Linked DNA regions of Sus scrofa. The protein of the gene in region 1 interacts with the protein of each later gene in a pairwise test. Links are inferred from orthologs where the notes say so. Each region holds a gene or a part of one and is shown in the gene's direction. Other genes may lie near its edges. The genes, in order: ZBTB9 and TSR2.

Region 1 (15,900 bases):
TCCAGGGGCAGCCTGCAGGGAAAGGAGGGGCACAGACCCGATCCCTCTCTCAGGAGCTCTTGGTCTGTCAGGGGAAGCCAGGTCCAGTCAGTCTGTTGAAAAGCCAGTTTTAGCCGTGCTGTGGGTCTCCGTGTTGTGGAACGCCCGGGGACATGCGCTGTGTTGGCTGGCCTCCTGTTCTTCCCAAGGGGGATCTAAGCCCTGGCCCCTGGGACTGCTCGGGAAGGGCGAGGTTGCTTCACTAGCAGTGTGAGCTGTGAGGGCAGAGAGGTGGCCATGGTACCACTTACCCAGCCCCGTCCTGAGGGCAACAGTGACAGGCGTGGGGGTCAGCGTGTGTGTGGGGCAGAGTGGCATGTGGTGGTCCAGAGCAAAAGACAGCAAAAGCTGTGGGGTCCACCTGCTTATTAGCACAAAGTCCCTGGGGGAAGCCGTTGCTGCAGGATTATGTGTAAAGAATATATGACCCCAGCTTGGGGGAGCAGAGAGGTTTTGAGGGGAAGTGGTCTCTAAGCAAAGGAAAATGTTGGGATGGATTTAGATGGACTTAAACTAAGAGGATATCTTCAGGCCTTTTATCGATTTACTTCCAGCAATACTGGAAGTGGAGGACAAAATGCATTCAGGGTGTGTCCTGGAGTCTGTGTGCAAGCGTGGACCTCTCAGGGTCTGGGGTCTCGGATCTTGCTCCGTCTAGAGGGAACCTCAGCCCCACAGAAGGGCCTTCTTAGCGGCTGTGTGTGTGTGTGTGTGTCTGTGTGTCTGTGTGAGGGAGGGGCTGGAAGTGCGGCTGGAAGGCTCGGCCCACAGAGCCCCTCACAGTGCGGGGTCGTGTGCCCGGCGGGCAGGTGAAGGAGTACGAGGAGGAGATCCACTCACTCAAAGAGCGGCTGCACATGTCCAACCGCAAGCTGGAGGAGTACGAGCGGCGGCTGCTGTCCCAGGAGGAGCAGACCAGCAAAATCCTGATGCAGTATCAGGCCCGGCTGGAGCAGAGCGAGAAGAGGCTCAGGCAGCAGCAGGTGGAAAAGGACTCGCAGATCAAGAGCATCATTGGCAGGTGAGGGGCGGCCCGGGGAGGGTGGCCAGGGAAAGCCTGAGGCCTCAAGGGGGCCAGCGAGCTCCCCCTGCAGCACTCCACTCAGGACACCAGGAAGAAAGCCCACCACCCCCTCCTGGGCTGCCCCAAGCCCTGGCCCCAGCTAGAGAGGTTGCCTTGCTTAGTACACTAAACGTCCCTTTGCTGAACCCTGCCCTCTCTCCCATAGAGTGACGTCTGAAGCCCTTGGACAGTGTACCCCTTACTGTCCAGCCGTCACTGTGTGTCTGGACCCGGCCTAGGCTGGGACTCTCCACTGGTTGTTCTCAAGCCAACCTGTGATGCTTTCGCCAAACCTAAGCAGGGGTCCCCCGCTGGGCACACCCTCCCTCTCTGACCTTGAAAGAGTGATCCATTAGAAAGTGGATACATTTGGTTTAGCCTGCGCACAATTTCAACTGCTCTGCTGAGGCCTGGGCTCCAAAGGAGGCGTCTCAACAAGGACACCTCCGTATCCTGAGAACTGAGTGGGACCCAGGGGCCCCACTCTAGCCAGCGCCAGCTCCATCTCTATCCATTCTACATGTATTTGGGGAGTTCCCGTGGCGGCTCAGCAGGTTACAGACCCGACAAGTATTCTTGTGGATACAGGCTCCATCCCTGTATGGATCAGGGGTTAAGAATCTGGGGTTGCTGTGAGCCGTGGTGTAGATCAGCGGCTGCGGCTCCAAAGACACCTAGTCTGGGAACTTCCGTATGCTGCAGATGTGGCTCTAAAAAGCAAAACCAAACAGAAAATGTATTTTTGAGTAATGTTAATGAGAAAAAGGCTTGACCTGAAACTTTTTTGAAAACCGTTGCTCCGACAGCCTTTATGAGAAGGGTTGCTCAAAAACAGGCAGACACTGAGAGTGATGACTGCAAAGACTTCCCTTGGCGAGAGCATCCAGGGCTGCCCTGGAGATGGGCTGGGCTGGGTTCGGTGGCTTGGGGGTGGGGGGCATAGCAGCTTGTGGGGAGCAAGGTCCTAATAGGGGCGAGGAGTGCCCAAATGTCCAGCAGGAGAGGTCTTTGAGGCACAGAAGCCCATCCCTAGCAGGGCCATAAGCGTCCCTGGAGGAAGGTGAATGGCAGGGTGTCTTTGGGGAACTGCGTGGAGGAGGCGGCCGGGGGCTTCTCGGTACCAGGAGCCGCAAAGGCAGGCTCCCGGCGTGCCCGCCACTAACCCCACTGAAGCCCGTCCCTTCAGGCTGATGCTGGTGGAGGAGGAGCTGCGCCGGGACCACCCTGCCATGGCTGAGCCGCTGCCCGAACCCAAGAAGAGGCTGCTCGACGCTCAGGTGGAAATTACAATGTCATTTATCTTCTCCGTGTCCCATCCCCATCCATCCCACTGTCCTTTGTGCTGTCACTGCACTGCCACCCCAGCCCCATGGCCATCTGTCTCTCCGTCGTCCTCTGTCTGTCCACCCGCGGCCCCATCTCCATCCCACGGTCTGTGCCTTTGTCACTCCCAGCAGCGTCAGCCCCACCCGATCTTTCCCACCCCAGCTGCGTTTCAGGGCCTCCCAGCAGAACCTCAGTCTCTGCCCTCTGAGCCCGCCCCTTTCCTGGGAGCCTGCGCGTCTGGGCCCGCTCCTGGTCCAGTTGGGGCTCTCCTGGGGCCAGAGGGCCGAGGCTGCAGTTTGCTGGCACGGGGCACAGGCAGTGCGAGGCCTAGTCTCCCCAGGCTCAGGCTCTGGCTGGCACCCTGGGCGCTTGGGGTCCTCTTGGCCCCTAGCTCCTCTCACTCCTGACAGCTCTGCTTAGCTTCCTCCTCCAACTCCTCAGATCCTGAGGGCTCCCCCGGGCACCCCTTCCACCCTCCGTGGTGCAGTCCAGCTTCTTCGGCCTCCTTCCCTCTGTCCTCACACTGGCCAAGCTCTCTGGCCCCTGCTGCCTCCCCTCCACCCCCCCACCAGCCTTGAGGACCTCCCTCCCCCTTCCCCCTTGTTCTCCCCCAGTTCTGCCCACTTGCCCACCCACGTGCCTCTTTCCTCTGACCTCCAGGCTTCCCCGCCACGCCACCAAGGCTCCTGACCCCATGACCCCACTCTCTCCCCCTGCAGCTCCTCATCAGGTAATTCTCCTGGTTCCGCTTTGACCACGGGCGGAGGACACAGGGGGAGGTGACTCCGGACCACTGCAGGTTGGTCATGAAGCCCACTCCCCTCTGACTCTCCGGAGCCTCTCCCCTTCACTGTCGCCCTCACACCGGGAACCTCCGCAGACCCTACCCTCTGACACCACACAGACCCCTCCCTAGGCACTGCCCCCAGCACTGCGCAGTGACACCCGCCGTCCCAGCACCCCAGGCCACACTCCCTGCCCTTGGAGTCTGCCCCAGCCTCCTCTGACTCTCAGTCCTCCTCCTCCTCTCCAGTGTATGTCTGTCACCCCCCATTTCACCAAAGCGTCCTTGGGGCCTGGGCCGTTGGGGTGGGTTTGTTAAGGGGGGGGGTTTGTTAAAGGGGTGGTGGTAATGGGCAGGGGCCCTGGCTGGAGGGCTCTGCTGCCTGCACACCTGCCTGCAGGTAGGTGGGGGTCTCCTCTTCCTCCCCCTCCCCTCAGCTCTTCAGGGAACCTTCCTTCCTTCCCATTCACCTCTGTCCTTGCCTTACACCACGAGGTGGAAGGCTTCTCGGGGCCCCTCCTTGGCCCCACTGGATGTGAATTAGGAGCAGGTAGTTCATCTGGGGTGGCTTTGGAGACCTGGCCAGGATGCTGTTCAGCTGCCGGGACAGTAGGCAGGGCGAGTGGAGCAAGAAGAAGTGAGAAAGGGACCTTGGCGGATGTTAGTGTGGGCTGGCGCAGGCGGCCTGGGAGCTGCCAGTGGGGCCTGGGTCCTCCTAGGTGAGGCCATGGCTGGACAGCTGATTCCTGGGCAGAGGTGGCAGAATAGCAGCTTAAATAAGTGCTCACATCCCTGGCCTGCTGATGTCCCTCACCCACCTCTTTCAGTGGCCTTGCCGGACACAGTCCCACGTAAAAAGCCAGGGACCGGAACCTGTCAGCCACTGATATTGGTCCTGGGATGCTCTCTTTCCCGTGGGCCTGCTCTGCAGTGAGCAGTGGCCCCTCGCACTGTAATTTAACTCTGCCTGCCCAGCCTCTCTGTCAGAGTAGTTAGTGATTGGAAAACAGATGCTATGAGACACCAGGGGACCTCACCATTTAAAGGACTCCTGCAGTGAAGTCTTTTGTTAAGTGAATAATGGCACCCTAATTTATCTCCTTTCTAAATCTGGGTCCCTGGGGGTGTGGGGGGCATGCCTGTGTGCCACTGCCAGCAGACAGGCAGAGAGAAGGGAATGAGAGGTGTCCCCCCCACCCCGCACTCTGCTGCCACACTTGGGGCACCCCATAGCCACACGCATGCAGCTTCCTCTCACCCATGGGGGGGGCGGTGTGAGATACCAGCAAGCCAAGAGGGTGCCCGCTTCAGTCTGGGCTTGTGGGGCCTGCTGAGAGGTGAGCTCTTTGACTTGGAGGGCAAGCTGACTGGGGAGCCTCTGGTTGGAATGTTTTTGCTCTTCTTGACGTTTGGTCCAACCCAGCTAGGCTGCCAGGCTTCAGTGCTCTGTGGCCCAGGAAATAATTAGGACCCTTTTTCTAAACCACTGTCACGTAGTGGTTCCTTGGCCACTCAGTGGTTACTGTAAAAATTAATCTTGTGCCTGTATTTTTAAAAGCCGAAGTGTGGAAGCCATCCACGGTTTTCTCTCCCTCTCTCTGCAGAGAACAGAAGCCAGAGCTGGGGGTGGGAGCCGGCGGCTACCCCAGGGTGGAGGGGGTAGATGGGGCTGGGGCTGGGAGTCGGTTTGGCACCGTCACCCTCAGCCTGGGAGCCCCGGGTGAGGGATGAAAGGACCGTGGAGGTGGAGAGGCATGAGCCTTGTGCTTCTTGGGGGTGCAGGGACCGGGGCCTGCTGTGTCCCGTCCTTTCTGTTCTGCTCCCAGCAGAAGCAACACACCCACGTCATTCCCTTCCCACCTCCCTGCCCTGAGCTCCTGTCTCCGTCCAGTTCAGCCTTTCGTTACATTTGAGAAGATGGCCTCTTGGGATAAATGAGGGGCTGAGTGACAGTGTCTATTTAATGAAATGCATGTCTTCAAAACATATCCAGTGAGTAGAATTGGATGAAGGAGGCCGCGGGGAGCCTGCAGAACCAGTAGCTGGGCTTGAAAGGTCTGCTTCTGGTGGAGGTGAAGCAGCTCCGCCCACAGCCTCATTTCGACCATTCATCTGCTTAGCACACCCTTTCTTCACAGATGAAGGAAAACTCAGGCCCAGTTTTTGTTCAAATTATGAAAGAATTCCAAACCCCGTGGGTTTGGATTAATGAGGTTTTGCTGAACTGCCTCCCCTGTTCCCTGGACGCGAAGTTCCCACCTCAGGTCAGAAGCTTCGAGGCTTAGGTTGGGGGTGAGATGGGAGCCTGCTGGTTTCCTGGTGTGACTCCCTGGGTTGAAGGCCCTGGTTAGGAGTCAGGGGCGAGAGCCTCTTCTCCCCGGCCTCAGGAGATGTAACAGCTCTGCAGGTGAGGACAAACTAGGAGGATGCGGGTGGGGGTGTCCTGGGAGGCGGGGTGGATGTGGCTTAAGGAGTGGGTTGGCTGTGGGGGAGCCACTGCTAGGGGGCTGGCACCCAGGCCCCCGCGAAGCGTCTCAATAAGTCCGCGCTCCACTCTTTGGTGTCTTGCAGGAGAGGCAGCTTCCCCCCTTGGGTCCAGCAAACCCGCGTGTGACGCTGGCACCCCCTTGGAACGGCCTGGCCCCCCCAGCCCCGCCCCCCCACCCCGGCTGCAGATCACCGAGAACGGCGAGTTCCGAAACACCGCAGAACACTAGCCCACCCAGCATCACAGGCTCCCCGTGCACCCCACCCTGGAGCAGCACCCACCACCAGGACCGGACGTCGCCGAGGGACCTCGGGATTGCCTCCCTGAAGGGCCCCTGGGGGCACCTGGCCCCACCCCCACTGCACCATCTCCAGGAGGGAGAGCAGGAACCCTTGGCTGCCCCCTTTTCCTTCCTGTTGGGGTGCTGCCCCTTTGACCCCCAGGACACCACCTACCCCATACAGACCCCTTCACTCTGGGGTGCTATCCCCATCCTCTGCCTCAATAGTCCCCTGAGCACTGGGGGACACCCTCGCCCCACCCTGGGGGCGTGGCACCTCCAAACTTTCAACTTCAGGGTGATTTTTTAGCAGTAACCAGAGCTGACAATCTAACTCCCCTCCACCGCCCCATTTTGGCCTCCCCTGTCCCCCTTGTTATGGGGAGGGGACCCCGGGTGAGGGGGCCCTGTTACCCCTTGATTTCTCAGGAGCGTCTGGGGGGGCTCAGCACGCACAAACCCCTTCTCCTCTTCCCACTCTCAAATTTACTTCCTCCCCACCCAGAACCCAGATGGGGTGGAGGGGCCACCGGGGCAGGGAGGGGGCGGCCAGGGGGGAATGGGGGTGGTCTCCCCTTCTTCCCATACCTGATCTGCTCTTGGCTGGTCCCAGAGCGGGGTGAGGGGGCTTATGCCCCCCCCTCCCCCAGTGTGTTGGGTGGGGCACAGTTGAGGTTAGGGTGAGGGGTTAGGGTTTGGGAGGGGGTGTCTGTAGGGGAGAACTCCCCTGGCACACACAGCCCCCCTGCCCCTGCCCCTCTCTGCTTGGTCTCTACTCCCAGGGGGAGGGGGAACTTACTCTAGGAAAAGCCATGTCTCTCTCCCCCAGGGTGGGGGAACCTGTGTTGGAGGAGGGGTGTTGGGGGCCCCCTTCCATGACTCTGTCCCCGGGGGGGAGGCAGGACTGGGCTGGGCTTCCCTCTCATCCTCCCCCCCCTCCCCAATCCCCTTCCTCCTCCCTCCCGCCAGCTCCACAATTTTTCGGTGTTTCTCTGTACATAGCTCTCTGGCGGGATAGGGGAGGTAGGGTGGATGGGGTTTGGGGGGGCTAGGTCACAGGAGGGAAGAGGCCCCTCCTTGGCATCCCCTTTTCCCCGACTGCCGCCCCCTCCCCAGCCTAGTCCCTCACCCCTTCTTGCGTTTGGTATTGAGACTCTTCCCAGACTCCACTCTTCTTTCTTTTGTATGGACAGTTCCCCTTCAGTCCCATCCCCTACACACCTACACCCAGCCGGGGCCAAATTTATACTTATATAAAAGTTGTAAATATGTGAAATTTTATCCCTGTGCCCTTTCCTCGCTTTCCCAACCTCAGATCCTACCCCTGGACTCCCCCTTCCTCTTCTCTTTGGCTGTTGTAATTATCTGGGGTTTGTACTGTACATATCCGGGGTGTGTGTGTGTGGGCTGGGGGCGACCCCTCTGTACAGAGCTTCCTGGCCCCCTGCCCCCCAGACTTTCCTCCCCACCCACACCCTAAGGGTAGGAGATATTCTTCCTACCTGTTTTATTTTGTTTTCTCGTTCTCCCTCCCCACCCCACCCTACCCCCAGACTACTCTATCCCCCACCACTGCCTCTTTTTCTCCACTCCCAGCCCCATTTCCTTTTTTTCTGGAGTGTGTGGTGAAACAAAAATCATGTTTAATAAACGGAGATTGTTCTTTTATCGCTGCGCTGACTTTCCTAGGCCGGGACCTCTAGGAGGACCAGCAGAGCGATAGGATCTGCTTTTTGAAGGGAATGTTGACAGCCTGGGAGCAACTCTATGTCCCTGCGTGGTGCCACAGGCTTCCCCTAGGATATCCCTATCCCAACCAGCGAGGAGACTTACTGTCTGAGGGAGGGGGCTTTGCACTGGCCCAGCTTACCCAGTCCATCTCCCCTCACCACTGCACCACTTAACCCGAGTAAAGAGGTCAAGGAACATAGCATTCCCTTATAAAAGATGCCAAGTATATGTTTACGCACACCTCAAAACAATCACCTAGAAAGGGAAATTTATTTAACTGCTGGTTAGAATGCTCCCGTGCGTAATGGGGAAAAGACTGTGGTTCCTTGGCGGATCTGGGTTCCAACCCCAGGCCCGCCGCTCGCGATTTCCCCCGAGGAGACTCAGGATTGGCAACACCTATCTCGCAGGTGGCCGGGGGCGAGGGTACAAGGTGATGGGGAGCATTCCCTAGCCCATACTGCGGGTGCCACTTGGTCGCGCCCTCTCAGCACCTGCCGGAGGGGGGCGCTACATCTAATTACCGGAAAGGCTCCCGGGTCGCTCACTCCGTCGGGGTGCGCCGTTCTGCGGCTGGGCCTCCAGACCTGCCGTCCGGGTGGAAGCCGCGGTCTCCCACCCTCATCGCCCTCTCCCGTACAACCAATCAGTGCGAGGCTTGTAGATCGGCGCTCCCCGATTGGCTGCAGCTCCGGCCCCGCCCTCTGCGTCGGCGTCCGGCGGGGAGGCGGCGACTTCCGGTCGGGGCGGCGAGGTGGCTGTAGAGGCGCTCGGGACGCCGCGGGGGCCGCGTGTGTAGCGGCGGGGGCGTGGCGGCGGGAACTTGGCCGGCGCTCGTGGTCTCCCCGGCGGCGACCGCCTGGGAGCCGGGCAGTCTGAGCGCACGAGTGGGAGCGAAGCGGCGGGCGGGAGCCGACCCGGCCGGCGATCCCGGCTCGTGGCCGAAGGATTCATCCCCCCCCAGGCCTTGAGGTTAAAGCCGCGGTCGGTGCTTTGGCGTGGAGACTGTTTTGGCTTCCTCTGCGGGGCAGTGCGGGGGCATTCGGGGAGACGCGGTGCCCCCAGCACGGCTCCCGCGACCCTTCTCTCCTTCCTAGCGTCCGTCCCGCGCCGGCCTGCCCCGTCGCCTGTACGCGACCCTCGGAGATCTCTTACCCACGAGGCCATGGCTGCCTCGACGCCTGTGCCTCCCGGGGCCCCCTCCCCCGCCTGCAACCCTGCCCCGCGGACGATCCAGATCGAGTTCCCCCAGCACAGCTCCTTGCTGCTGGAAGCCCTGAACCGCCACCGGCTGGAGGGGAAGTTCTGTGACGTGTCCCTCCTGGTTCAGGGCCGCGAGCTTCGGGCACACAAAGCAGTGCTGGCGGCTGCCTCTCCTTACTTCCATGACAAGCTGCTTTTGGGGGATGCGCCACGGCTCACTCTGCCCAGTGTCATTGAAGCCGATGCCTTCGAGGGGCTGCTGCAGCTCATTTATTCAGGGCGCCTCCGTCTGCCACTGGATGCCCTCCCAGCCCACCTGCTTGTGGCCAGTGGCCTCCAGATGTGGCAGGTAGTAGATCAGTGCTCAGAAATTCTTAAAGAACTGGAGAACTCAGGTGGTGGACTTTCAGCCCGGGCAGCCACCCCTTTCCACGCACTTCTTTCCACCACAGCCTCTCCAGGAGGCTGGTGCATTCGCTCTTCCTCTTTCCAGACCCCAGCGCAGGCTTCGGCTTCTACTGAGAGCCCCGTCGTAGGGGACGGCAGTGAACTGGGAGAGGTGTTGCAGATTCAAGTGGAGGAAGAGGAGGAGGAGGAAGAAGAGGAGGAAGAGGAGGGCCAGAGGTCGGCAGCATCCTCTCAGACTCCGCAGCCTCCAAGAGCATCAGGGAGCTTTCCCCGCCCTCCTGGATCCCACACGCTGCCCACATCCAGTACTCCACGCAGGCTTCCAGAGGGTGACAGCGCTCTGCTGGAGCCTCCTGCCCCTCACACTGCGCTGCCCCCCAAGATATTCTACATTAAGCAGGAACCCTTTGAGCCCAAGGAGGAGATAGTAGGAGGCGGAACGCAATCTGGAGGATCGAAGGAAGAGACCGGAGTGCTTCCTGCAGGGGACGTGGAAGGGAACGGGGAGCTGGGCTTCTTGCTGCCCTCAGGCGCAGGGTCAACATCGGGAGGAGGAGGTCCATCCTGGAAGCCGGTGGATCTTCATGGGAATGAAATCCTGTCGGGGGGTGCGGGCCCTGGGGGAGCAGGGCAGGCTGTGCATGGGCCTGTGAAGCTGGGGGGGGCACCGCCTGCAGATGGAAAGCGCTTTGGCTGTTTGTGTGGGAAGCGGTTTGCGGTGAAGCCGAAGCGTGACCGGCACATCATGCTGACCTTCAGCCTTCGGCCCTTTGGCTGTGGCGTCTGCAACAAGCGCTTCAAGCTGAAGCACCATCTGACGGAGCACATGAAGACCCACGCAGGAGCCTTGCACGCCTGTCCCCACTGCGGCCGTCGGTTCCGAGTGCATGCCTGTTTCCTTCGCCACCGAGACCTGTGCAAGGGCCAGGGCTGGGCCACTGCTCACTGGACGTACAAGTGACTGCTGAGGCTGTGTGCTGACTCCCAGGACAAGGGAGCCCCTGCTGCTGATGGAGCCCCTGCTTATCCTCACTACCCTGGCACCCCAGTCTGGGGTCTCGTTAATCATGCCCAAAGGGTAGATAATTAATGAGCCTCATGGTCTTGGGTGTGGGCGTCAACCTGGCAGATTTGGAAGTTCCAGTTCCTTCTCTCAGCCCGGGTTCTTGCTGACTATCCTACAGGAAAATGGCTTATAGCCATTCGTAAATTGATCACTTGTCCATGCTATGGTTTCATGCAGGAAATCGTATTTCAAAGTAGTTGATCTGATGAGAGAAGAGTTAGAGCAGAAAACCGTAATGGTAAATGTTTCATTCACGCTCTTTTGAGTTAAAGGAGCTGGTCTCCATCCAGAGATACATTTGATTCAGAGTCCTGGTAATTCAGAGACTAAGTGCTAAGCTCTCCTCCCTCATCATTGCGGCAATTATGTGAGTAGAGTTCTTTTGATATCCTCCTTTTGTCGTATCTTTCCATGAGCTCTTTAGATCCTCAATTGTGTTCTCACCAGTAGGAACTTTTCCAACACCTGTCTCTGTACGTTGTAGTTGAGCACTTTAACCAGTCGAGCATTCTGCGGGTCACTTAGAACAGTCTTTAGTGGAGGGCACTCCCTCTACAGTCTGTGCCTCTTCTCTGCCTTTGACCCCCCTGATCACTCAGGTGATCACGGTGACTGGAATGTGACCAGGGGACTCAGGGGGTGGCCCCTGACCATCTCAGGGGTTGCACCACTGCTCTGAACAAGTGGTCACGGTCAGAGGGACTCAGGGCTGAGATGGCGCATGCTGAAAACTAGAGAATAATTGCACAGCGGGACCATAGCCCCTCTCCTTCCGTCCCACCCACACGCGACAGCCCTTGGTGGACAGGTAGAAGGGTAGATATTGGAGTGGGGAGATTGGTGTAGGTGTCTTAATTTCTTCAAATAAACTTTGCCCTGAAATCAAAGCTGACAGTGAACTGAATTGAGTCATTTATGTGGGAGAGACAGTGAGAACAGAGCTGCAAGGACTTGGATGTATTCCTTATGCAGCTGGGTCATGTTGCCAGGGGAAGAATGGGATGGTGTCAGGCTGGTGCAGAGAACACTGTCCTGAACTTGAGTGGGCCAGATTCTCTACCCTGACCTGCCACTGAATAGCCTCTGGTAAGTTGCCTTATTTTGCAGAGTCTGAACTGTTTAATTAGTTCATTAATTGAAAAAAAAATTTTGGCGGGGTGGTAGGTACCTCCTAACTGGTCCTCTGTCTTTTTTTTTTAAAGGGGTGGGTTCGCATATCTCTGCCCAATGTCCCCTGACTTCGTGCATGATGTCTGTGGTTTGGTTATTGTCTGGTTTGTTCACATTTCGTGCGCGACGCTGCACTGGACCCTGAGTTCTACTCCCTTCTCAGTAGCACAGCTAGACAGATAGAGCACAAGCCACTGTGGTGGTCCAGAGCAGACCGAGCAGAGACCTGCTCGGGCTCACCAGAGGGTTCACAGAGAACTCCACTGCCAGAATATGGTGATGGGTGTGGGTGGCGGAACTGGTCAACAGTAGTTGAAGTCACCGTAGAGCCAGGAGTGATGGCCTTTAATCGTGGTCCTCAAAAGTTCTTAGGTATGGAACCTAGAGGGGTTAAAAAAATGTGACTTCATGGCTGAGAAGGTGAATTCTGGCTGGGATCTGTCAGCGGTTCTGAGGAGCCCTGCTGTGGGACCATCCCCGTGGTGAGGACTGACTGCATTGAGAGAGGGGTTGGGGATGAGGGCTGCCAATCTTGGGTCTGCTGCACTGCCACCCACCTGTCATCTTGGCACACGTTCTGCAGGTGACTACATCCAGGGGCCAGGATCCTTGGGTTGCAAGCAATGGCTGACTAGCCTTATCAAAACAGGAATTGGAAGCATGTGGGGTGCACCCAAAGTGGGAGGAATGGCTTGAAGACCAATCTTTGGAAGAATAAGACCTGAGTCATCCAGGGGTTCGAGCAGGAACTCCTGGGGGAGTCTTCAGGTCGTATGTTTTGGGACGATGACCCTGTCGGTCATTTCTTTGTCACTCATCTCAAGATAAAACTTCCCAGGAGAGAACTCAGCCTCAGGTCCACTCTCTGGGCAGAGCACCTTGATCATAAGTTCCACTGAGACACCAAATCTTGAACTCCTCAAGGGACTGAAGTTCAGGGACAGAAGAGTGTGCTGGCCAGCCCACAGGAACAGAAACCCACCCATACAGTCTCCATATATTGCCCATCTTGGGATATGTAAAGCCTCAAATACACCTGGCACTTATTAAGTGTTCAGGTAATACCAAACCTGGAGCTCTTGCTGTGGTGCAGTGGATTAATGATCTGGCTTGTCTCTGGCGTTGCTGGTTCAATCCCTGGCCCAGCACAGTGGGTTAAGGATCTGGCGTTGTCATAGCTGTGGCCTAGATCCCAGATAAGGCTGGGATTCAGTCCCCTGCCTGGGAACTTCCACATGCCTTGGATGCGGCTGAAGATGGGGAAAAAAAAAAAACCTGCCCAACTTCCACCTCTACCCTCCAAACTTAGGGCAGAATTGGGCAGAATTCTCCTTAATCCCCATAGCATTTTATTGCTTCTGTAAAGCCAATTAAAACACTATGTTAGAAGTTTGGGAGTTTTGTGAGTTTTTTGAGGGTTTTTTTGGCTGTACCAGTAGATGCAGAAGTAGGGAACTCCAGAAGTTTGTGGGTTTTTTTAAATTTAAATTATTAGGTATTATAGGAAATCAAGTTCCATGATGCAGGATTTTGGTTTAAACAAATTTAAGCGTGTGCCTCTCTACCTCTCCTTTCCTCCTTATTGTGGAAGAGATGTCCCTTGTCCTGTAAGGCTAGTCCCCTGCCTAGGGCCTCTGCTGGTAATCATCCTCTGTGTCCAAATCTTCACCCTCTGTCTGTGTAGTTTCTCATAAGCATTTAATATGCTCATAGGCTTTGCGAGAATTAACACGTGAAATGCTGAGAACAGTATCTTGCACTCAGTCTATTCAGTAAACGTCAGCAGCTACTATGAGAAAAACATTAGTTCTCCACACCTTTTTAGGAATCATTTCTTTCAGGGAGGGGGTCACATAAAGGGAAAATATTTTCGGGGAGTTCCCGTCATGGCGCAGTGGGTCTGGGGGTCAGGAAAACTGGACATGGAAAACTAAGCGTCATCTGTATTGAAATAGTTTAACTCTGAGTTCCCGTCGTGGCACAGTGGTTAACGAATCCGACTAGGAACCATGAGGTTGCTGTTTCGATCCCTGGCCTTGCTCAGTGGGTTAACGATCTGGCGTTGCCGTGAGCTGTGGTGTAGGTTGCAGATGCGGCTCGGATCCCGTGTTGCTGTGGCTCTGGCGTAGGCCAGCAGCAATAGCTGCGATTCGACCCCTAGCCTGGGAACCTCCATATGCCGTGGGAGTGGCCCCAGGGGAAAAAAAAAAAAATTTCAACTAAAGAGGAAATGAGGCATTCAGCACTCAGGAAGAAATAGATGTTATTTTAATTATTACATTTCTCATAAATGCTAGTGGTTTTCAGGGCTCTTTTTACTGTCTTCTAACTTTATACACCTCTAGGTGGTTTTTATCCACTTTCCTGAGTTAAACCATTTCTTTCTTTTTTTTTTTTTTGTTGATCTTTTTGCCATTTCTTGGGCTGCTCCCACGGCATATGGAGGTTCCCAGGCTAGGGGTCCAATTGGAGCTGCAGCTGCCAGCCTACGCCAGAGCCACAGCAACTCGGGATCCGAGCTGCATCTGCGAGACCCACACCACAGCTCACGGTAACGCTGGATCCTTAACCCACTGAGCAAGGCCAGGGATCGAACCCACAACCTCATGGTTCCTAGTCGGATTCGTTAACTACTGCGCCACGACGGGAACTCATCGTGTTAATAGTTAAATAGCTAAACTATTTCATTGCAGATGATGCTTAGATTTCCATGTCCAGTTTTCCTGATCCCCAGACCCACTTGGATGTCTTCCCTCTTTTTGTTCCTTTGTCAGTAAGTATCTGCTGTGTACCAGTCACTATGAGAGAAGCAGATGGATCACAGGGGCTGGCAACTCTGGATTGCACTTTAAGAGAAGGATGTTTAAACCAGCTATGCAGCTTCTTTGTAGATAAGTCAGATGGGAAAGGAAGTAAGCAAGGCAATAAGGTGGAGAGTAACAGAAAAGGGAGGCGCTGATCTAGGATTCAAAGGAAAAGAAAGAGCAGACATGCAAAGCTGGGCAAAGAAAATGATTCTGGTAATGTGTTCAGCAGATGTAAAGGCCGAGAGAGAGAAAGGTGTTTGATGAGGGCACCCATGGACCCAGAGAGGAACAGGATGTTGTCTTGGTCCATCCCAGCATCTCCAGCAGGATGCCACAGTCTGGGTGGCCTGTAGACAGTAGAAGTTTCTCACGGTTCTGGAGGCTGGAAATTCCAAGATCAAGCACCAGAAGACCCAGTGTCATGAGGACCTGCTTCCTAGTTCTTAGATGTCTCGTCTCCCTGTATCTTAACACATGCAAAGAGAAAGGGGCGCTCCAGCTCTCTTATGAGGGCACTAATCCCATTCGTGAGGTGTTCACCTTCCTGCCTAATCACCCAAACCCACCTCCTCATACCATCACCTTGGTGATTAGGATGTCGACATATGATTTTGGGGGACACATACATTGTTCATTGCAGGTGTGATTAAAGAGGCAGGCTGGGGAGTTCCTGTGGTGGCTCGCGGTAACAAACATGCCTAGCATCCATGAGGGCCCAGAATCAATCCCTGGCCTCACTCAGTGGGTTAAGGATCTGGTGTTGCCGTGAGCGGTGGTGTAGGTCACAGACGTGGCTCAGATCCCACGTTGCTGTGGCTGTGGTGTAGGCAGGCAGCTTCAGCTCTGATTCGACCCCTAGCCTGGGAACCTCCATATGCTGCAAGTGCGGCCCTGAAAAGACAAAAAAAAAAGAAAAAAAAGAGGCAGGTTGGGGCTGGGCTTGCAGATTGTGACAAGGAATTTGGATTTTGTTCTATGCATGTTCTCTCTCTCTCTCTCTCTCTTTTTTTTTTTTTTTTTTTTTGGCTGCATCTGGGGCGTGCAGAAGTTACTAGGCCAGGGATCGAGCCCTTGCCACAGTGGTGACAACGCCAGATTCTTAACCTACTGAGCCACCAGGAAACTCCCTTGATTTTATTTTAAATGCAATGAGAAGCCAGTAAGTTTAAAGTAGGCGTTTCCATTGTGGCGCAGTGGAAATGAATCCGACTAGTATCACGAGGATGCAGGTTCAATCTCTGGCCTTGTTTGGTGGTTTAAGATTCTAGCGTTGTCGTGAGCCATGGTGTAGGTCACAGATGTGGCTGGGATCCAGCGTTGCTGTGGCTGTGGTGTAGGCCGACAGCTACAGCTCCAATTCGACCCCTAGCCTGGGAACTGCCACATGCTGTGGATTTGGCCCTAAAAAGCAAAGCAAAAAAAACCCCAAAAAACAACTTTTAAATTTTGTGGGAAAGTGACAAATCAAGGACGATTCCAGAGTTTGGCTTGAGCAGTTGAGTTAGAGGCTTTTTAATGAGTGGGAGACAGGCATA
Region 2 (15,900 bases), on another chromosome or scaffold:
GAGGCAAGTCGATAGCATAGAAGATCTGGGAGACTTATAGAGTGATGAGAAAGGAGAAAGATAGGTCTTATCTGAGTCATTGAAGAAAGGTGGAGCTGAGCCTTATCTTGGACTGCATAGGAGCAGGGAAGTCCTTTGCAGTTAGCCCTTCCTCAGAGCACAAAAGAGTAGGAGAATGTCCTGACCATGCTGCTTTCCAGAAACACAGGTCTCAGATGTTTCAATATCATCACTGGTTTCCTTGTTTCAGGATGGGGCTTAGACTGAAGATTTCAATCTGAAGATTTCAGGGACCTAGTCTAGGCATTCACTCTGGGGACCTATATTTGGTTCAACCTGAGTGGCCGTCATTGCAGGTAGGTCAATCTGGAGTCTTAGACTGAGGGACTCAAACTTGGGACCTCAGTTTGGCAGATCAGTTTCAGAGGGCTCTATCTGGGAATTTAACTCTGGAGAACTAAGTTTAGAGGCACCAACTGGGGTACCCTGTCTACCAGGCACAGTCAAGGGGCTCACTCTAGATGTAACAGACTGGTTCTCCATTCAGCAGTTCATTCTGATGTTGGTACTGTGAGTTTCATTGAGGGTGGGGCTCAGCGTGGCCTCAGTCTGGAGATCTGAATCTTCATTCTGCAAACTAAATCTCTTGTACACAGCCTGGGGAGCTTCTTCAGGGGCTCAGGCAGAGTGTTTGTTCTGGAAACACCATTTTGGGGATTTGGTCTAGAAACTGTTTGGGTCACCTACCTTATGGTTGCCTGTCCAGGGGCTCAGGCACTACTAGCTTAGTACCAGGGATCAATCTCATGGTACTGGTCAGTCAAGATCTCTGTCTGGAGCACTCACTGTTGAGTACTCAGCATCAGGATTTAGCTTTAGAATGTTGAGGAGTCACTGTAGCTCAGACAACAGAGGGCTCAGCAACTTATCAGAGATGCAATGCATGTAAGAGAAAACCATCATGTAATGATGGTTTGAACAAGACAAAATCCTTTATTTCTCTCACGTAAAAACAGTCCCAAGGAACCTCCACTCTTTTCCATTTAAATCTCTTGGCTGGAGTTCCTATTGTGACTCATGAGGTTAAGAACCTGACTAGTATACATGAGGATGCGGGTTCAATCCCCAGCTTTGCTTAGTGGGTTAAGCTGCTGCAAGCTGCGGTGTAGGTGGCAGATGTCTCTCAGATCCTGTTTTGCTGTGGCTGTGGTGTAGGCTGGCAGCTCTAGCTCTAATTCGAACACTAGCCCGGGAAATTCCATATGCCACAGGTGCAGCCCTAAAAAGAAAAAAAAAAAAAAAAAGAAACGCAATAGGAGCTCCCGTCATGGTTCAGCGGAAAAGAATCCAACTAGGAACCATGAGGTTGCAGGTTTGATCCCTGGCTTCGCTCATTGGGTCAAAGATCTGGCGTTGCCGTGAGCTGTGGTATAGGTCACAGACGTGGTTCAGATCCTGCGTTGCTGTGGCTGTGGTGTACGCCAGCAGCTGTAGCTCCAATTTGACCCCTAGCCTGGGAACCTTCATATGCTGTGGGTGCGGCCCTAAAAAATAAATAAATAAGCAATAGACAGTTGGCCAAGAAGCTTATGAAAAGATATTCAATGTCACTAATTGTTAGGAAAAGCAAATCAAACCCATATTGAGGTATCAGTTCACAGATGTTAAGACAACTATTGTCAAAAATAGAGAAATAAATAAATTTCATGTCCTAAGGGTATATCACATGGCTGTACTCAGTTGCAAGGAAGACTGGGAAACATAGTCTTTTAGCTGGACTTATGCCCACTCTAAAAATAAGGGTTTGTTCCAAAGGAGGAAAGGGAGATTGTAAATTGGAATGTGAAGCTAGCAATCTTGCTACAAAGGTGTCTCAGCCTGGGATACTCAGTCTGAGCCTCTGATACTGTGGATGCAATTTTGAGTACTGATTCTGAGGGTATGAATTTAGGCAAGATTAGAAGTTCATTCTGGGGAATCAGTTTCATGAGCGCAGTTAGGGGACCTTGTCTTAGAAGCTTGGTCTTTCAAGCACATGCCTTAAAATTTCAGACATTGGTAGCTCAGTCTAGGGGCTCAGTGTAGGAGCTTCCTTGTGGGGTGGATGAGTTCGTTAAGAGGAGATCATTCTAGGATTCTCAGCCTGGGGGCTCAGCCTTGGCAGTTAATTTTTCTAACATTAGCCTAAAGTTTTCAGAGCAGGAATTTTATCTAAAGGATTCAGTTCAATTTCTCAGTCTATGCAGGCAGTCTAGTAAGTTCAGTCTACAGAATCCCATTCTTGATATTCCTTTCATAGGGGCTCAGTCTGGAGGTTCTCAGACTGGGGGATCATTCTAGTATTTCAATATGAGAGTTCAGTCTAAGAGCCTGATTCTGGAGGTCTCAGTCAAGGTCTGTCAGAGCCTCTGGTGCTTCATTTTGGGCTTGGATTTGTGGACCCAGATTTTGGAGGTTCAATCTAAGCAAACCAGCTCAATTTTGGGGATTAGCCTTCAGTCATCATTTTTGGGATTCAGAGTAGGGTCCTCGGTCTGGATTGTTAGGACCTCCCACTCTGGATACTTGTCCAGGGATTCATTTTTGGTACATGTCTTTTTTTAAAATTTTCTTTAAAAAAATTTGTATTGGAATACAGTTAACCCAAAAAGCTGTGTTAATTTCAGGTGTACAGCAAAGTAAATCAGTTAAACGCATACATATATCCATTCCTTTTTAGACTCTTTTTCCCATATAAGTTATTACACAGTATTGAGTAAATTTACCCATGCTATACAGTAGGTCCTTGTTACTTGTCAATTTTATATATAGTAGCATGTATATATAAATCCCAACTCCCCTAATTTATCCCTCTCCCACAAGTTTCCCCTCTGGCAAACACAAATTTGGTTTAGAAACTCGAGTCTGTTTATGTTTTCTAAGTTCTGCTGTATCATTTCTATTAGATTCCACACATTAGTGATTTTATATGATATTTGTCTTTCTCTGTCCAGCTCACTCCACTCAGCATAGTAACCTCTAGGTCCATCCATGTTGCTTCAAGTGACATCATTTCATGCTTCTTTATAGCTGAACAATATTCCACTGTGTATATGTACCACATCTTCTTGATCCATTCCTCCGTGACAGACATTTAGTTTGCTTCCATGTCTTGGCCACTGTAAACAGTGCTGCAATGAATATTGGGGTGCATGTATCTCTTCAAATTATGGTTTTCTCTGGATATATGCCCAGGAATGGGGATTGCTGAATCATATGGTAGTTCTATATTTAGTTTTTTAGGGAACTTCCATACTGTTCTCCACAATAGTTGCACTAGCTTACATTCCCAACAGTATAGGAGGTTTCTCTTTTCTCCATACCATCTCCAGCATTTATTGCTTGTAAAGGCCATTCTGACTGGTGTGAGATGATACCTCATTGTAATTTTGATTTGCATTTTTCTAATAATTAGTGATGTTGAGAATTTTTCACATTTTTTTTTTGTATTTTTGGCCTTCTCTCTTCTTTTGGGGAAATGTTTAGATCACCTGAAAATTTTTTAGTTGGGTTGTTTGGTTTTTTGATATAAAACTGAATGACATGTTTGTATATTTTGGAGATTAATCCCTTATTGGTCACTTCATTTTGGCACATGTTTTGAAAGTTCAGGCATTGGTACCTCAATCTAGGGGCTCAGTGTGGGAGCTTTCTCATGAGGGGTGGGTCTGTTAAGAAGAGCTCATTCTAGGACTCAGCCTGGGGGCTCAGTCTTGACAGTTAATTCTGCTAACATTAGCCTAAAGTTTTCAGGGCAGGAGTTTTATCTGGCAGCCACTGGGGTCCACTTGGGTTGCTCCCTCTTCCATACATGCCTGAGTACTCAGACTAGGGTATTAGTTTAAGGCTGAGAACTTGGAAGTTCATCTGGAAGCATGTTGTCTCCTGATCTCAATCTGTATGCTCATTCTAAAAGTGGAAGTTGTGGTTCTCAATATTGGAAGCTCAGCCTGGAGCAATTAACCTCACAGTCTCATGCCTGGGAGCTTGTGCTAGTTCTGGAAAGCAGACTTAAGATGGGATTAAGTGAATAACAATTTTGTCAGGGGAAATGTCCATGAGATCAAATGGGGTGGGTGCCATGGAAGGCTGGGAGAGCCATTAGAACATATTGCAGTCTAACCCAAATGAAAGAGAGAAGGAGGGAACGTTGAGCGAAGGTGTTCTAGACTTTTGTGCAGTACAAGGGAGGTTTGGCAAGGCTCTCTGCAATTCCTTGTACCAAAGTCACCAAAGTATCCTTGCCATACTCAGTCATTAGCTGGGAGTAACTTGCAAGAAGCATGGTCTCCGTACAAATGAAGGGATGGATTCCAGAACACAGCAACAGGGGTTCTTGATCACTTATGCTCCCTGAGGTTTAAAGTCTATGAGATATATTATCATGGCTACTATGCGGTGCATGCTGGTGGCTCTCTCTGGGGACTCACTCTAGGGCTCATTCTGGGCATGTTATTTGGGGGCTCAGACATTGGGTTTTCAGTCTGAGGGAATCTGTTTGGGATCAGTCCATACTTTCAGTGGTGGGTGTATCTTTGGCCTCAGTGTGTGAGGGCTCTTTCTGGGAGCTCAGCCTGGGCCCACTTCCAAGATATCACCCCCATTCTCCTTCAAGGAGCTACGTTTGGTGTCTTAGTCCTATGACTCTGCCTGGAGGCTCAGTATGGGGAATCTGACTTTGAGGGTTTAATGCTGACAGTTCACTCTTGAGACACTTGAGGATTCAATATGGAAGCTTCAGTTTTCATCTATGATATGGCTGAAACTCTCTCCAAGTGAGTGCCAGGCTCAAGACTCAGTCTAGGTGGCTGCGTCTGGCTAGCTTTGGGAGGCTCAGATACTGGGGGCTAAATCCGGTGTATTTTAGCCTGAGGAGTCATGCCTGGGGTTTCTTGATGTGATGATCTTATCTGGGGATCTCTGTCTGGTTGGCTCTGTCTTAGAACCCAAGCTGGGTCCTAGTCTGAAAATATTCATCCAGAGGCACTCTCTGCATTTACACTTTAGCAGTTCAGTTTGGCAGTTCAGTCCACACTTGTCTGGAGCTCAGTCTGAGGTCTCATGCTGGGGATTAAGTTTTGATTTAGGTTTTGAGAGTTCAGTCTCCGACATATTAATCTGCTCATCTTACTCTGAAGGCTTAAACTAACTGAAGTAGTCCCTCAAGAGTAGGGTCTAGATTAGCTGTATTTAACCTGGCATTTATGGATTTATAAAGTGTCATGCATAGAATTTAGTGTCTGAGCATTTGGATGCTAAAAAAAAAATGTATCTTATTTTCACTACCCTCCACTGAAGCTTGGCATTTCTTTCAATAATGTATGTAGAGGAGTTCCCACTGTGGTTCAGTGGTTAATGAACCCGGCTAGTACCAATGAGGACTCAGGTTCCATCCCTGGCCTCGCTCAGTGGGTTAAGGATCCAGTGTCGCTGTGAGTTGTGGGGTAGGTCTAAGATGGGGCTCCGATCCTGTGTTGCTGTGGCTGTGGCGTAGGCTGGCGGCTGCAGCTCTGGTTGGATCCCTAGCCTGAGAACGTCCATATGCTGCTGGTGCAACCCTAAAAAGACAAAAGACAAAAAAAAAAAATCATGTATGTAGGCAACCAACCACAGTAGTACTGGCAGTACAAAAGACTTTGTCACCAATGTACAGATATTTTTCCTATCAGAGCTCTTAAAATATTGTTTACATTCATAATTAATTTGAAATCATAGTAGTCATTTAACTTGTTAGTAGATCATAATATTTAATGCATTGATAAAGAAACCTAGGAGTTCCCATTGTGGCTCAGTGGTTAACGATTCCGACTAGGAACCATGAGGTTGCGGTTCGATCCCTGGCCTTGCTCAATGGGTTTAGGATCTGACGTTGCCGTGAGCTGTGGTGTACGTTGCAGACTCAGCTCCGATCCCGTGTTGCTGTGGCTCTGACTTAGGCCAGCAGCTACAGCTCTGATTCTACCCCTAGCCTGGGAACCTCCATATGCTGCGGGAGCGGCCCAAGAAATGGCAAAAAGACCAAAAAAAGAAAAGAAACCTATGTTACGATTAATTTTTATAATATTTTGGTAACTATTTTAATATAATTGGTTTCCTTCTGTAATTCTATATTTTATTTTATGCGTTTAAAAACATTATTCCAGGAAGAAATATATTGGCTTCACCAGCTTGCTAGATGGGTTCAAGGCACAGAAAATGTGAAGTCTGTCACTTGGTATACTCAACTTTGGACTTCAGTCTCAAGGCTAATTCTCAGGGTTCTTTCAGAGACCTTGGTTTGTTGGAACTCAGAATTGGGTTCCATGTGTGGGAATTTCTAGCAGGTCTACTGTGATATTGTGATTTATAGTAAGTAATATACATTGTGTCTTCAATCACTTCCTGGCACAGAGCTCCTAAAATCTCCAGAATTTCCTCTGAGTGATAAGAGATGTCTTTTGTTATGTTAATAAAATGACCTTCGGAATTCCCCTAGGTAACCTAAGGGTGAGGGCTGGTTGTCTGTGGAGCTAAATAAAAGATTAGAGGGTTGGCGTTTTCATTTCCACCCCTCCACCTAGAGGAGGGGAGAGAGGCTAGAGTTTGAGTTCAGTCACCAATAGCCAATGGCCTAATCAATCATGCCTCTTTACCAAAGCCTCCATAAAACCTCAAAAGAACAGGTTTTGAGAGCTCCTGGGTTGATGAACACAAAAAGATGCCATGAGAGTGGTACGCTCAGAGGAAGCATCCTTGCCTCTTCTCATGTACTGTGCCCTATGGATATCTTCCATCTGGCTGTTCCTGAATTATATCCTTTTATAATAAACAGATAATCTAGTAATCTTTGAGTTCTGTGAGCGAACCTAGCCAAGTTAATCAAACCCAAAGGAGGGGATTGTTAATGTATTACAATGAGTGCATAATGAGGCTCAAGGTCTAATGGAAATTGAATCTTCCACCATCTTGGACCTGATTGGTTCTAACCAGTTTTTGTGTATCCTCAACAGCTCTGTCATTTTTTTTTAAAGTTCGTGCCCTTCCCCCTTCCCTTCTGTTTCAGTATCAAAATTGAGTTAAATTGTAGGACACCCAGTTGATACTGAAGAATCGCTTGGTGGTGTGGGAAAACTCAACACATATACCCTACAACTGGTGATAAGAATCTTCCCTACTCCAGGTATGTTTGAGGCCCTGGGAACTCACAGGGAAGTGCTTAATCTCAGTTTCTTTATTTGGGCTTCTTTGAACTCAAATTTAAATTGCTGAGTCTGCAGGAATGAATCTCTAGAGCTCTGTAGGAGTTTATGCCTCCTGAGATTATCAGTCTGGGAATGCTTGTAATTATCATCAAACAGCATGTTGTTTCCTGATTCTTTTTCTTTGTATAGATTGTTTCCTCAGCATGAAAGACTTTCTTTCTTTTAGAAACATACCTCTATCCTCAAATACACAAACTCCTCATCCCCTGGGAAAATTCCACTCAAACTTTTAAGTCAGAGGCATTATCTCTGAGAGATTTGCCATAATTCCCAAGGCTGGATCAGAAACCCCCTCTGCTGGACTCCCATAGCTTCCTGTGCTCCTTTCTCCTCTAGCATTGCATAGAGATGGATTTATCACAGAAATAATATAACTAAAAGTTTAAGCCTCTAGTAACTCACACTTACACAAGACACTTCCAAGCCCCTGGTTGTTGAGCATTGTCAATTTGAGACAATTATTGCTGCACAAAAACAAAGTACCATAAAATTTTATAGCTCACATGTAAAAGAAACTAGAGGTTTCCCCAAATTTAACACAATCTTAAATTTTATTCTACTAACAATGAGCTGTGAAGTTGAAACTTTTCTAAACTACAATAATAAAAAATTTTGATCAACTGAATGCAATTGAATTCTTTTTATTCTCTCTTGAAAATGTTATTATAAAATAATTGTCCTATTTATTTACAGGAAGATATCAAAATGTTGGCAGCCAAAAAAAAATAATAAAATAAAAAATAAAGGAAAAATTAGTAGAGAGGTGAGTCAGGCAATTATTTTATTTCTCTAGTTTTGAGGATGTTTGTGGTATTTGTCAGGTTTTTTTAATTGGAATTTGTAGGAATTCCCTAGTGGCTCAGTGGGTTAAGGATCAGCATTGTTAATGCTGTGGCTCTGGTTACTGCTGTGGTGCCAGCTGGATCCCTAGCCTGGGAACTAACACATGTCACAGGCATGTTCCCCCCCCCAAAAAAAATTGGAATTTGTAAATTTAAAAATTTCTTTTATAAATCTAAAGCTATACTTACTTGCACACCTAAATTTGTACTATTTTTCTTAAAGAGGGCTTACAAAATTCTATCTGCCTCAGGCCCTTCAAAGTGTGGATTCACCCTGAGCACTGATCATAATTTTGGTCCTTGCCCTGCTTTAGTTTCAAGTCATTTCAAGACGTCTTCCGATTTTTTTTTCTTTGACCCATTAGTTATTTAGAAGTGTACTAATTCCCACCTATTTGTGAATTTCACAAATGTCTTTCTGTTATTTATTTCTTTTTTATTTTATTTAATCAATCAATTAATTTATTTTTTAGGGCCACACCTACACCATATGGAGGTTCCCCCGCTAGGGGTCGAATTGGAGTTGCAGCTGCAACGCCGTATCCAAACTGTGCCTGAGACCTACACCTTAGCTCACGGCAACGCCAGATCCTTTAACCCACTGAGCGAAGCCAGGGCTTGAAGCCGCATCCTCATGGAGATGAGTCGGGGTCTTAACCCGCTGAGCCACAGATGGAACTCCTAGGATGCATTTCTAAATGCAGACTTTTAGGCTATGCTACCTGAGGTTGCTTCCTCTGTCCTTTATCTTTAATAAGTTCCTCACATCTTTTCTGCGCAATACCCACGGGTCCGGAACTCTCGGCCCCAAGCGTCTTCCACTTCTTGAGTAACCCGGGCGGTGTCATCGATTACTCGACAGACTTTTCTATTGCTCTAGTCTTGCTGCCAGATCAGCGGAAAGGGAGAATCTGCGTTCTCAAGCTTGGCTTCCTACTCCTTCTGCCTGGGCGGTGCTGCGCAGGGATTGGCCTGCTTGGGCGTCACGTGGTCCGCAGCAGGATGATGGCGGGCGCTGCAGAGGAGTCTCTAACGCTTTTCCGGGCTGGCATCCGCGCAGCGTTGGAGGCTTGGCCCGCCTTGCAGGTGAGCGAGGACACAGCTGGAACAAAGGTTAGGGACCGGGCCAGAACAGGAGTTGGCCGGTGAGCTGCCCAAGGCTTAGTTGGTTGGGCGGCGTCAGAAGCGGACCCTTGCGCCACCGCAGGCCGGTTCCTGGGCTGACGTGGTGGGCTCGGGCCTGTGTTCGCAGATCGCTGTGGAGAACGGCTTTGGAGGTGTGCATAGCCAGGAGAAGGCTGAGTGGCTAGGGGGTGCAGTGGAGGAGTATTTCTTCCGCAATGGTGAGTGAATTTAAGGCCCTAGGACTTGTTTAGGGGCGCGGGGAGGAGGGCGGTCTTGGTGAATCTGCACTTCCTCTTGAACAATTGTCTGCTGATACCAGAGTCTGAATCCTGAGTTCGAGTGCCTTAGGGCCATGCCATTGACTCCTTGTATCGCGTTGGATATGTCGTTTTACTCCCCTGAGACTCAGTTTCCTAATTTGTAACATGGATATGAAAGTATCCACCAGCGCTGTCCAAATCGAAATATAATGCCAGTCACATCATGTAATTAAAAATTTTTCAGCAACCACTTTGATATAAAAAGCAGGTGAAATGAATATTGTTCAACTCAATATATCCAAAGTATTTCAACATGTAATCAATATAAAACATTATTAACGAGATGTATTACATTTTTTTTTAGTATTAAGTTTTCAAAATCTGGTGGGTGTTTTGCAGTTTTATCACATCCCAATTTGTCTTGGCCTAGCCACATTTTAAGTGCTCAGTAACCACATTTGATTATTTGGACAGCAGAGATCTACACCTTTGATGTGTCTTGTAGGTTCTATAAGAATAGGGGCCCTTTAGGTGATCTTTTGTGAAGTATGATTTTTTTTAAATTATTCACTTAGTTTTCTTGGCCTTGGAGATGGCATTAGGCAGAGACCTTTCTCTGAAAAAAATTTATTATTTGGTGAGGGATCTAGATAAGTAAATAGGTTTTTACTCACAGGGTGGTAGGTGTTCTAATAAAGATCTCAGGGTGCTTGGGTAATGTGAGACTGAGGAAGAGGCTTCTTTTGGAGATTGTTAGGGTAAGGTGGCTTTTGGGTGAGTTTTAAGGGATGAGAAGGAGTTAACTAGGTGGGAGAGGCAGAGCAACACTCAAAAATAAGTTCTGTGGTATGAGGAGATTATGTGTTATATTTGGAAAGTGGCAGGGAGCTCAGTGTTAGAGTAGGGCTGTATGGTGTGCTTGTGGGGGTGTGGGAGGGGGGAGTGATAGAGAATGAGGCTGGAGGTTGGTTGGGGAGGCCCCTGGAAAAGGGTGAAACATGGAAGGATTTGTGGGCCTTTGATTTTATCCTTTAGGCCAGCATTTGTCAAAAATATATGCTATGGAAGACTAGTTCTTTTTAGGTGTTCAGTGAAGAAACCACTTCTCCAGTCACATGATATAAAAAAAGCTCTTCAGCTCTTAAGAGTCACCATAATCATTATCATATTAAAGGTTCTGATAAGAACCACCAAAAAGAAACTTGTTTACCATGATTTTTCTATGAATAGCTTCCCTTAAAGTCCAGCAGGACAGTTACGTCTTATAAGCAGAATATGAAACACTGCAGTAGGAGATAAAACTTCATGAGCAGGATTTAATAGGATGGGGTTTACTGGCTATAGAAAGTAGCCAGTATGGGGTTCCCGTCGTGGCGCAGTGGTTAACAAATCCGACTAGGAACCATGAGGTTGCGGGTTCGGTCCCTGCCCTTGCTCAGTGGGTTAACAATCCGGCGTTGCCGTGAGCTGTGGTGTAGGTTGCAGACACAGCTCGGATCCCGAGTTGCTGTGGCTCTGGCGTAGGCCAGTGTTTACAGCTCCGATTCGACCCCTAGCCTGGGAACCTCCATATGCCGTGGGAGCGGCCCAAGAAAAGGCAAAAAGACAAAAAAAAAAAAAAAAAAAAGTAGTCAGTATGGAGCTTGGACTGGAGAGGGAACAACTGATGAGAAGACTGTTTCTGTCTTGAAGATGATGAGGCAGTGGCAATAGTTACGGAAAAGAAGGGGTGGATTAGAATCTTGGAAATTGTTTGGCTGTAGAGGAGTGGGGGGGGGCATGAGGCAGGTTTCTGGTTTGAGTCGTTGCGTGGCTCAGATACCTTTTATGGAATAGGAGAACCCTGGAGGATTGAGAAGTAGGTTTGGAAGGTAAGGTGATGAATCTGGCTTTGGGAAAGGAGGGTCTGAGGCACCCTCTAAATAGGTGGAGAGTAGTGTGGATTGGAGACAAATTTGGGGGATATTCGAGTGGTAGGGAAAGCCAAGGAGGCGAATGGAGCTCTCCCAGAGGGAAGAGAGAGCAAGGAGCTTTGTGGAAGACTTTCTTGAGTTATTCTATAATTCAGAAAAAGTAGAGTATAGGACCATAACGTGACTGAAGCCGAGAGAGGAGGGCTCTGCCAAAGTCACATGATAGCATGTTGGTGCCAAGGCTGTGATGATTTCATCTTGAAGTACTCAACGTCCATCTCTTCTTACCTAACCCATTGGTCTCTGGCCTCCTGTTTGGCGAAGCCACAATCGTGAATAATTTCTAGATTTCAAAAACTTCAGCCCTTGTGTGATGGAAATTAACATGGATTATGGGTCTTCCCTGCATTAGGCATTTTTTGGGTGACTCCCTATAACAGACTTTCAATGAGGTTACCATTAGTCTCACTTTGTAGTGGAGAAAACCAAGGCTTGAAGATGAATAAGTAACATGCTCAAGGTCACGTAGAGGGAAGGCTGGTTAAAATAGGCCAGATGAAAGAGGGTGAGTGTGGAAGAGAAGGCTTGGTCGGATGCAGGAGATTGGAAATCAAGTGTTTTATTTGGTGTTTTGTTTTTTCTTTTTTAAAATCATGTTAAAATCTGGAATGTAGAGTACTTCAGCAAATAAAAGGCTTACTTTTGAACCTTTACTAACCAAGCAGATGTGGATCCACTAGGTATGTATTGAAGAGTATTGGGCAAGTGTGATAAAGTTGGCTGGTCTTTGATCAGAGAGCCTTATCCTTTCCTACTTAGCTGACTTGGAGCTAGAGGAGGTGGAGGACTTCCTCGGGGAGCTCATGACGAATGAGTTTGATACGGTTGTGGAAGATGGGAGTCTGCCCCAGGTGAGCATATCTTGGGTACAGTTGCCATTTCCCTGCCTGCAGCCTTTCTTCCCCAACTGTCTGTTTTAAACCAACCCTCTTGGCTGTAACCATTCTTTTCTTGAGTCCTGTGCAAGAACTTTCTATGATTCCTTGTTGCCTAAAGAAAAGTCTAGTTTTCCCTGGCCTTTCAAATCTTGCTTTTCAAATCCTTTCCCAGGCCAGGTACATGCCTGACATGTTTTGGTTAACATCCATGCACCTGCATCAAAGGATTGCCTTCTGTGTTTACATTTTCATCTTTTAAACCCAGTTCTAGGGCCTTCCCCGTTAGGGGGCCCTCCTTCAATGCTTCAGGCAGTTACTGAGCCCTTCATATGTGGTTGCTTCATTAGTGAACTCTTTGGGGAGGAAAGAGCCTCATTCTCTTCCTCCCCACTCTTGTCGCAAACACAGGCTGGTTGTATTGTAGGTTCTTTAGAAAATCCAAGCTGGTTGAATGTTTTCTCGGTAGGTGAGCCAGCAGCTACAGACCATGTTCCGCCACCTCCAGAGGGGTGATAGGGCTGCTCTGAAGGAAATGGCCTCTTTCATCACACAAAGAAAGTGCAAAGTTAGAGCCACTGCACTAACTACAGCCAGAGAGACTGATGAAGATGAGGATGATGCAAACAGCGTGGAGGAGATGGAGGTGAGAGGGATGCCTCTTGGGTGGGGAGATGCAGATATTTTCAGTTTTCTGGCAGATCACCTAGTTCCCCAGGGGAGTGATTGGGTGGTGGTGGTTGTATCATCCAGAGAGGGCAGGAAACTTTCCTAAGGTCATATAGACAGTCCTGGCAGAGCTGGGAGGAGAACCTGGGTTTCCGTCGGCCACAGCTTGGAGATGTTGTGGGGTTTTTGGTTTTTTTTTTTTTTTTTTTTTTCGGTCTTTTTAGGGCCATGGCCATGGCATTATGGAGGTTCCCAGGCTAGGGGTCAAATGGGAGCTCTAGCCACTGGCCTACACCACAGCTGCAGCAACGCAGGAACCGAACCGCGTCTGTGACCTACACCACAGCTCATGGCAACACCAGATCCTTAACCCACTGAATGGGGCCAGGGATCTAACCTACATCCTCGTGGATGCTAGTCAGATTCATTTCCGCTGAGCCACGATGGGAACTCCAGGGAGGTGTTGTATTAAGCTCTCTCCTTTATTTCTCTTCTAGGTTGCAGCTATGAATGATGGGGCAGTTACAGATGGGGTCTGCCCCCAGCCACCAGACTCCCAGACTATTAAGGAAGAGGATATAGTAGAGGATGGCTGGACTATTGTCCGGAGAAAGAAATGAGTGGGGCCAGAAATGGTTTGGGTCCTTATTTGCTAGTTGTTTTGGGACTTGTGTGTAGGGGGGTGTTTTGGAGGGTTATGGACCTCTGGACTGGTTTCCTCATCTCCACCCTCTCCCCATTCCCCTGTACAGCTTCTTCCAGGGGGAGAAGAGCCCTAGGGTCCTTGGTCTTGGGCTGGTGGGATCTGGTTCACCAGGGCCTGGAGTTACTGTCTGAGTGATGAGGGATGCTTTCCCAGCAAAGTGCCTCTTGGGTGCAGTCAGGGTGAAGAAGAAGGGATGAGAGGTGTGGGACTGACTGGAGAAGCTAAATGCTGGTTCATGGCAGGCAAGTGGATTGTAAAGGGAGAGGACCAGGGAGAACCAATATTCCTGCTGGGTCAGGATGTGAATGAAAGTAGCTGTGGTACCTCTCCCTCTTCTCATCCCCCAGTCCTACAGGGCACCTCTGTACCACTGCCCAGAAATTGGAACCTCCCAGGAACACTCCCTTCCTGCAGCCCAGTGTCCAGCCCTGAGTTCCTTCAGGATGACCTTGACAAGGCAACGAGCTTGGGGGACCCAGGCTTTGTTTTCTGTCTCTTCCAACCTCTTTCTGAACTCCTTATCCCATCTAAGTCCCGGGATGAGGCCTAAGACCTCAATGAATAATACCTTACTGTTTAATTTGTGGCTTGACTTGTGAGTAGCCTTGGAATCAGCTTTCTGAGAGCTGAGCTTTAGAGCTCAGCAAGGGAGCAGTTTCTGGGCCCACTCTAGCAGCCTGGTACTTTGGACAAACAGACGAATGGAGCACAGCAGTGTTCTGAAAGTTTCTGTAAGCTTGAAATAAACTGTATTTTTCTTTAAAAAAACAAAACAGAGTATTCATTGTCCTCCCCCCTCCCCCTTTCCCCTGTCCTGCCCGGTGGCCCTGCCATGGGTCTGGACCATAAAATACTGGGTAGCCTTGGGGCCGGGTAGAAGCTAAAAGCTATGGGAGAGGCAGGAGAGGTCTGGTCACCACCCCGCTTAGCATCACATGTGTGAAGATACTGGTTGAGGGGCAGGGGTGGGCCAGGACCATGGGGTCAGTGGCAGAGCTGGCACTTGAATCCAGATCTCCTGCCTCCGGTGCTTTGGGGGGAATTGGGTGGAGGCAGGATCTGTAGGGTATTGAGGGGTTGGGGAAAAATGGCCTAATTCAGGCAGGTCTAGCAACAGCTCCCACACTCCCTGGGGACAGGGTTTAAAAAAAAATTAACATCACTGTAGGAATACTTTTTTAAAAGCCCAGGTTTTGTGAAAAGATGAATTAAAAAGCCCAAGACCCAGCATTCAGGATTGAAAGTGCCCATGATGGGAGTTCAAGTATTGACTGAGCTGGGAGGGAGGGGGCTGGGACCCCAGTTACCCACAAACCCTCTAGGTCTTGTCTCGGGTCTGGGGGGCTTCAGAGGGTTCAGCAGTGGCTCCTGAAGCTGCCACCGGTGCCTCTTCCATCTCCCTGTCCTCAGACAATGTAGGCCCTGGGCAGAACGTGTCCCCACGGCCTGCCCGGCCAAGCACAGCCATCCATCGTCGCTGCAGCTCCTCTGTCTCAGGACTGAAGTACCAGCTCAGGTGGCTCTGGGTGATCTTGAAGACATGCCTTCTGTCAGGCCGTTCCCCAGCCTCAGGAGGCCCCACCTCAAAGCCAATGAGGGGCAGGCTGCGCTGGGCTTTCACATCCTGAGGAACAGGGACAGAGTCAGGGATCACCTTGGGGCTAGGCTCACTGGTTTTGTTTGCATCTGTTAAACCTCTTTTCCTTCCTCTGCTCTAGAACCTTCTGTGGCTTCACTGAGAACAGGAAAATGTCTGAACTGGGGCTACAACGCAGGTTGGTTCAAATACCTGTTTCCTACCACACCCCAAACCAGCTGGGTTAGTCTCATAATGCTTTCAGGCCTTTGGGCTATTGCCCCCATGTGCATATTCTTCACTCCAAATTGGACCAAGCAGTGCCCTGTCTCTATTCCAGCTTTCTCCAGGAAGCTAACCGCCCCCCCAACTCACCCCATTTTTCCCTATAAATGTTGACCCACTCCTTGTCCGTAGCCAATCTTTGTCTCACAAGGGTAGGGATTCTGATTTCCCCTTAGGTTTACCCTATCCTCCAAGGCCAAGGAGAGCAGCCTGGTTTTGCCAGATGGCTGAAAGGACCCAAAGGAGTAGGATGCACACCTGAGGGGCTCCGTAGATGTACAGCACCAAGGGTTCGTTCTCAGGGACCAC

What was found.
Region 2: the proteins of ZBTB9 (region 1) and TSR2 interact in binary tests that used the Homo sapiens proteins (3 or more experiments, as listed by UniProt). The two-hybrid records come from large-scale screens. The link is inferred for Sus scrofa from reciprocal best matches to the Homo sapiens genes ZBTB9 and TSR2.

The regions. Positions count from the first base shown.
Region 1 is NC_010449.5:29,746,289-29,762,188, forward strand, and holds ZBTB9 (zinc finger and BTB domain-containing protein 9), read left to right. Parts: upstream 1-8,440; 5' UTR 8,441-8,876; coding exon 8,877-10,283; 3' UTR 10,284-11,280; downstream 11,281-15,900. UniProt on the Homo sapiens protein: May be involved in transcriptional regulation.
Region 2 is NC_010461.5:47,177,963-47,193,862, forward strand, and holds TSR2 (pre-rRNA-processing protein TSR2 homolog), read left to right. Parts: upstream 1-8,647; 5' UTR 8,648-9,124; coding exon 9,125-9,208; intron 9,209-9,374; coding exon 9,375-9,465; intron 9,466-12,239; coding exon 12,240-12,331; intron 12,332-12,824; coding exon 12,825-13,001; intron 13,002-13,521; coding exon 13,522-13,644; 3' UTR 13,645-14,503; downstream 14,504-15,900. Other genes in the region: FGD1 (FYVE, RhoGEF and PH domain-containing protein 1), read right to left, coding at 15,049-15,354, 15,850-15,900. UniProt on the Homo sapiens protein: May be involved in 20S pre-rRNA processing.